Linked DNA regions of Tribolium castaneum. The protein of the gene in region 2 interacts with the protein of the main gene of each other region in a pairwise test. Links are inferred from orthologs where the notes say so. Each region holds a gene or a part of one and is shown on either strand. Other genes may lie near its edges.

Region 1 (3,342 bases), about 1.8 Mb from region 2:
GGTCTGGCTATGGGGGCCCCCTTAAACATTTTTGTGTTGTAGGCACACACTATTTTGCTCGTCCAGCCGGGGGCTAACCCCGAGACTCGCACCTACTCAGATTACGAGTCGGTGAATGAGTGTATGGAAGGTGTTTGTAAAATATACGAGGAGCATTTAAAGCGCCGGAACCCCAATACTCCCACAATCACCTACGATATTTCCCAGTTGTTTGATTTTGTCGATCAGGTATTTGTGCTAATTGTTGCAATTTTTCGTAAAAGTGGCTTTCAGTTGTCCGATCTGAGTTGCTTGGTGTACCAGAAATCGACAAACACCTACGCCCCCTATAATAAGGACTGGATAAAGGAGAAAATCTATATCTTGCTGAGGCAAGCAGCAGGACATGCAGACTAAGGGAAAAACTAAACTAGAATCTTACTTTAAGTTTTACTTAACGTTTTCTTTAATTATAAATGTATTAAACCTAGGTTAAAACACGTAAACATGACTGCTTTCAATTCCTAACCGGTCTATTATTTCTTTAATTTCCCGCCCAAATGTTTCACTCCCGCTTATCATGACTTGAACTTGACCCAACTTTCCTTGGACGTAATTTTCTAAATCACAGAAAGACATTTTTTTATTATGAATAGTCTCGTGGTACTTTGCCACGTTTTGATCACAGTTATTGCAAAAAACCTCGTAATTAAAATTCCAAAACGACCCCAACTCATATAATTCGTCCCTCAGTAAAATATCGTCACAATTCCGGACACAAAAAAATAATTTAACAAAACTTTCACACTCTTCATTGTGCACAACAATATCACGGATTAGGGCGTATAAGGGGGCTATTCCGGTCCCCTGAGCGATAAAAACCAAAAACTTGTGCGCATAATCGGGGGCAAACTCGCCGTAAGGCCCCCGCCAGGACGTTTCGCCCCCCACTTGCATTGTTTTGAACAGTTGGGACATCCGTCCCGTGTCGTATAACCTGACCAGGACCGTAAACTCCAAACTTGCATTTTGGGGCACCGGAATGGGGGTGTAGGCCCTTGTGAATTCACCTTGGGGGTCCCGCCCCCTTAACAAGAAATACTGTCCCGGCTTGTAGTCCAAACAATTCGGTTGTCTCTCCCTACAATCGGCGTATTTAAACGTGTAAAAAAACACACTTTCGTTGATTTTTTTCCGTCCAGTTAGCACAAAAACTGTGTAAGAAGTGGGGTTAAGTGCATTGACAGCGCCACTTTTTTCTCGCCCTAGTTTTTGGTATTTCCTCAACTGGGCCTCGTACACGTCCAAAATGCACGGATTGCAACCCGAATTGCAACAATCAGCCTCGTCTGGGGGCTCCATAGCCTCAAAAACCGGGCGCTAGCGCGCATGCGCGTGCCATTTCTCTGGTAATTGTTAGTAATTTTCGCGCGGTGGTTGTGGTACCGCAACCTCTTCTCGTGTGGCGGTTCAAGATGGCAGTTGGTAAAAATAAGGGGCTGTCCAAAGGCGGCAAAAAGGGCGTTAAGAAGAAGATGTAAGTCAAAAATTTGTACTAAATTGTGTGCCCCGGTGCTGTCTAGGCGTCCCGCCGGTGAAAACCGGGCGAAAATCGGCCGGATGGGTGGGAAAAAGTGTGATAACGTGGGGTTGTTTTTGTAGTGTGGACCCGTTCACCCGCAAAGACTGGTACGATGTTAAGGCCCCCTCGATGTTTGCCACCAGGCAGGTGGGCAAGACGCTGGTGAACCGTACGCAGGGTACGAAAATCGCGTCCGAGGGGCTCAAGGGGCGCGTGTTTGAGGTGTCTTTGGCCGACTTGCAGAATGATAATGATGCTGAGCGGTCGTTCAGGAAGTTCAGGCTCATTGCCGAGGATGTTCAAGGTGCGTAGCGTTCATTATTTAAAAAACTGTTCCAGGTGGCTTTACATGATGTGAACACCCAGCTCGCATTGAATTAAAACTGTTGAGAATTTTGAAGTCTGACCCAATTTTACCCTTCTTTGGGGGGCTTGATGTGTTACAGTGTTTCAAATTTGGCGGTTTCAGGTCGCAACGTCCTGACCAACTTCCACGGCATGGACTTGACCACCGATAAGTTGCGTTCAATGGTCAAAAAGTGGCAAACTTTGATTGAAGCCTCAGCTGATGTCAAAACCACCGATGGTTATTTGTTGCGTGTTTTCTGCATCGGCTTCACCAATAAGGACCAGTTGTCGCAACGTAAAACTTGTTACGCCCAACATACCCAGGTAATCACTCGTGTGGTTGAACTATTATTTAAAATTGGCGCCGTTTTGTGATGAGACACTCAGCTCGCATTGATTCAAACGTGATGAGAATTCATGTTCCCTATTAAAATCAAAGTCTGATTGTAATTTTCTTGAAAAAGTGGGGGCAAGCTGTGGCAATTGTTGATCGATTGTTTGCCGTCAGGTCCGTGGCATTCGCAAGAAGATGGTGGAAATCATCACCCGGGACATCACCGGGAGTGACCTCAAGGAAGTCGTAAATAAACTACTTCCGGATTCGATCGCGAAAGACATTGAAAAGGCCTGCCAGGGGATTTACCCACTTCATGACGTGTACATTCGTAAAGTGAAAGTCTTGAAGAAGCCGCGTTTTGAGCTTTCCAAGCTTTTGGAATTGCACGGGGATGGGGGCAAAGGGGGGTCGGGTGAGCCCGGGGAAGCGGGTGCTAAAGTGGACAGACCCGAAGGATATGAACCACCAGTCCAAGAGTCTGTTTAATTTAATTGTTTATAAGAAAAAACAAAAAATAAACGTTTGAATACGACGTGCTATATTGATTTTTTCAATTGGCTCAGTTTGGTCAGAGCCAAGTCCCGCCAATTCCTGCGTTCCTGTAACTTATCCAACGGGACCGAATTCTCCAACTGTTTGGCGATTTCCTGCACAAGGGGGCCCTCCCACTTTTGCAACGGTTTAAAGTCCTTGCTGACTGAATAAATCGTGTTTGAATATTTCTTGCAATAGTCGACGAAGCCCTCGGCGTTAAGGTGAGTGGTTTCAAGGGGGCCCAGAAAGGCGTAGCGCATGCCGAGCCCGTCGGACATGACCTTGTCGATGTCTTTGACATCGAGGACTCCGTCGGAGACAAGGTTCCACGTTTCGTTCAAAAGGGCGTACTGTAGGCGATTTACAACAAAACCGGGGACTTCCTTAGTCAGTGAGACGGGAGTTTGCCCGATTTCCTCCATAATAGCGCGCGTTTTTTTGGTGACTGCGGGGTCAGTCCAGGGCGCTGGCACGATCTCGACCAAGGGCACGTAATACGGGGGGTTCACCGGGTGCGACACCACGATGTTTTTCCTACAAGTCGCAATTAAATTACAGAAAT
Region 2 (4,094 bases):
TTCTAGAATTTTACATTTTTAAATTAATACCACTAATAGTCTTCATAATTGTAAAACTAATGGTACTTTTCATTTTTTTATGTTCGTAAAAATAAAAAAGTTATGAGACCTCAAAGTCTCTCTAGGTGTGACGTCGGGCGGCACAATTGACTCAGCTGGTTAAAATTAACATGTTTCCAAAATTATTTCGCTGTTCCTCAATTTTTTCCATTTAGCTATTGCAGTCCTATATCTTTTATGAATGTTTAATGAACTATAACTAAATAAAATAAATAAAATTCAGAAATCTCACGTTATAAAACCGTTGGATATCAAAAAATGAGAACAAGACATCTTTAGAAAAACAAGAGAATCGTAATTTCATATCTTTGAAAACACTAGGTTTATAATTATAAACCACATCTACTTATTCATCGAACGTATCTTCAAAAGCATTAACAAATAAAGAAATTGTATTTCTGTAAATAACAAGTCGTTTGTAGAACACTTATTTTTTTACATATTTTTTTTTGTACAAAACATTCTGCAAGCATCGCTTGTTCTATAAATCATAAAAATTTCCATTAGTTAATGTTTTTAGTTTTTTTTAAATAAAATAATATTTTATTAATATAAATATTTCTCATTAATTAATATTTATTATTTATAAGAAATTGTAGAAAAAATCTGATAAAATTCGAAGGCTTACAGAAAGAAATAAAGCAAAAAAAATCACAAACGCTGATTTTTGTGTGATTATTTAAATGGATTATTATTGGTTATTAGTGATTCATTACAGTATCTCCTTAAACAAATTACTTCAATTATCACAAATAACACTTTCTTTCAATATTTATATCTTTTAAGTCAATAAAATTATCCGGAGATCTCAATACAATGCCGAAAGGAACAGTAGTGTGTAAATCGCCGTAAATGACCCAATACTTAACAGTTTTTGATTACGCAATAGATTAAATAACTCTTTGTAATCAAAAATCTTTTTCACTTTTTTATCAAAGTCCAACATAAAACACTTTATAATCACGAAAAAACGCAAAACCAAAGGCAACACTAGTATTTACCGGCATATAATTTTAAATTGACTCTCTCTAATGTAAAAAATTAACAGTACACACGCAGAATTGCTAAATAATCCATTAAATGAGCAATTACCAAAACTTGTTACTGTTTTCGGCAAGTACGACATGTCGTCACCAGAGGACGCCTAGTTAATGCATTTCTGGTGATTTCAGTTTTGTCAATTAGACTAGCCACCAAAAGTGTTTTTTTACGAATTGTTTGAATTAATTAACCCCAAGTACCATCTCGTGCAAAACCAAACGAAATAATGTGAATCGTGTCCTTGCTTTGTGTAATTTATGCCCGTATTTTCCATTTGAGTGCCCTGTTGACATTTGTTGGTGTCACCTAACCTCACAGTGTTAAAGGACGCGGCAAAATGGCCCTCCGAACATTCGGTGAAAAACCGATAACTTTCCAATTGGAGGAAAATGGGGAGTATTACTGTGTGGGCTCCGAGGTGGGGAACTACCTGCGCCTGTTCCGGGGTTCCCTCTACAAGAAATACCCCGGAATGTACCGCAGGTCAATCACAAACGAGGAACGCAAACGCCTCATCGAGCTGGGCTTGAGCCAGCACGTTCTGGCCAGCAGTGTCTCACTGCTTCGGGCCTCGGAAGTCGAGGATATCATTGAGGGAAATGACGAAAAGTTGGTTTGTTTTTTGGGGGTTTTGTTGTTATTTGTTGATTATTTAGGTATAAGGCTGTTTCGGTGCACACTTCGGACCCGCCGATGCCGAGGGAGAGTAAATCGAAGAAGTCGATGCAATGGGTGCCCTCACTCCCAAACTCCAGTCATTTGGACGCTGTGCCCCAAGCCACCCCGATTAATCGGAACAGAGTGGCGGCGAAGAAAGTTCGGACGTTTCCGTTATGTTTTGATGATACTGATCCAGAGCTGAATATGCAAAATGCGGCACAAGGGGAGTTGTTGGTCCCGATAAGGCTGGATATGGAAATTGAGGGGCAGAAGCTGAGAGACACTTTCACGTGGAATAAAAACGGTAATTTTTTGGGTTTTTCTAATCACAGTACGCTCTGCATTTGAAATAAAGTTGTAACTTTTACATTATTTATTCTTATCAACTTATTTTCGAATACTTATTAGCGCATTTTGATCTGAAATTTAATTCTTGAATAATTTTTAAACCTGCCACCAGTCATTTAAACTAATCAAGATTGCGTGATACGAGAAAAATATGTTGGCAATGACTGTAGTCTAGTAACTAAGGTTACATCTGTTATCTAAATTGACACCATATTGTTGATACTGGGTCCTGATTATTAACTACAAACTTGTAGTAAATGATAAATTTTTTGATAAAACGCATTTTTAAACACTTTTAATATGATTTATAACTTTTTTTGAGTTTAATTTAATTAAAACACGTCAAAAGATCATCTAAATATGTCGAAAATGACCTGAATTTGACACTCTTTAAAAACAGTTCCAATTAGATTAAAGTGTATGTTTTCTTTAAAGTGACTTTGCTTTTTTGTTGAAGCAAAACTTCATAAAAACGCTAAAAAATCATCTAAATATGTTGAGTAATAGCGTTATTTCCAGATTATTTTGCCTTTTTTTTATTAAACTTATCTTGTTTTTGAGTATGAGACTTACTTGTTCTTGAAAGTTTTGTCAAAAAATGACTAAATTAGGTCGAAATTGACGTTTTCTTCAGTAGTGATTTGGACACATTTCGTGAAAATGCACCGAAAAATCATCTAAATATGTCAAAACTTATGTCATTTTGACAATGTTTTCTCTTTTTTGAAAACTTTTTTTTTATTAAATACCCCGAAAAATATCTAAATATATCGAAAGTTACGGTTGGTTCGACATTATTTTAGTTTTTGTCGTTAGATTTATTTTTTTTAGCGAGAAACTGACTTTTTTGTAAAATTTTGTCAAAAATAAGCAAATTGAGATAAAATTGACGTCCTAGTTTTAAGAATTTCTGGTAGGTTTATTTGTTTTGGAGCCAGGAACTGCAAAGTTTCGTGACAGAATTAATCAAATGTAATGTTTTTTTTAACAGCTTAATTTCTTAAAATAATCTAGCTTTGTTTTTATACGAAATTGCATTAAAATGCGCCGAAAAATTTACTTTCATATTTTTCTTGCCTTTTTCATTAAGTAAGTAAGTAAGTTTTTGAGCGAAAATCTCCATTGTTTTGAAGAATTTTGTCAAAAAGCCAATTTAAATAAAAATTGAGGTGCTTTTTCAGTCTATTTAATATATTATTATTTATTAATTATTCTAACCAACTGTATTTCTGTTGAAAAATGTACTAAACACGCTCAAAAATGTAAAATAATTGAGTTTTAAGTTTAAAATGGTGATAAAACTCCCAAAAAATGCAAAATTATCACCATTTTTGACGCAGGTTAGTGACTTTTCGGCTTATTTTTGAGAAATTTAATAATAATAAAAGTGTTTTATTCTCCCATTTTTGTTATTTGATAATTGTAGAGTGGGCCCAAGTCCCAAACCTTTGTTTTTATCTATAGCCGACCTAATTTAAAGTTTAGACCAAGTAAATACCAACTCAAGAAAAAAAAAACTTTTTTTTTTTTTCAGAAGTTTCGTTTTTTCTTCTGTCTTTTTGTTTTTTAGTTCGAACATGTATTTGACTGTCATCCTTCATCATCAACAGAGTATTTTTTTTAATTACACAATATTTTGTGCATTGTTGTTAGTTTCGTAGTTTTTTTATTTTTATTATTTTTATATTTGTTGAAATCGGGATATTAGAAATTATATTTAGGGTTTCAATTACCAACTGTTAAACTTTTATAAAAAAAATTTAACAAGACGAAAATACAAAACAACCGTTGGGTATTTTTGAGAGACGATTTTTTAAAATAAAAAAAATAAAAAAAAATTGTATAAAAAATAATGTTTGGTGCTTTTGAGCGACTAGTTTTTGGTTTTTTTTTCAATATCAAAAAAATCAGCAAACGTAACTTTAGTCACTTATATAGTTATTGACAACGTATATCTCGCAACTCGATTCAGTTTATGCAAATTA

The links. The genes of interacting proteins can lie anywhere in the genome.
Region 1: the proteins of Snr1 (region 2) and RpS3A interact in a two-hybrid assay, tested with the Drosophila melanogaster proteins (2 studies listed by BioGRID). The link is inferred for Tribolium castaneum from reciprocal best matches to the Drosophila melanogaster genes Snr1 and RpS3A.

Annotation. Positions count from the first base shown.
Region 1 is NC_087401.1:15,473,801-15,477,142, reverse strand, and holds RpS3A (small ribosomal subunit protein eS1), read left to right. Parts: upstream 1-1,380; 5' UTR 1,381-1,454; coding exon 1,455-1,516; intron 1,517-1,641; coding exon 1,642-1,865; intron 1,866-2,030; coding exon 2,031-2,233; intron 2,234-2,417; coding exon 2,418-2,732; 3' UTR 2,733-2,778; downstream 2,779-3,342. Other genes in the region: e(r) (enhancer of rudimentary homolog), read left to right, coding at 43-228, 274-396; NADH-cytochrome b5 reductase-like, read right to left, coding at 472-1,341; Had1 (lambda-crystallin), read right to left, coding at 2,783-3,314. UniProt on the Drosophila melanogaster protein: Essential for oogenesis; required for late follicle cell development.
Region 2 is NC_087401.1:13,705,459-13,709,552, reverse strand, and holds the start of Snr1 (SWI/SNF-related matrix-associated actin-dependent regulator of chromatin subfamily B member 1), read left to right. Parts: upstream 1-1,212; 5' UTR 1,213-1,438; coding exon 1,439-1,710; intron 1,711-1,757; coding exon 1,758-2,065; intron 2,066-4,094.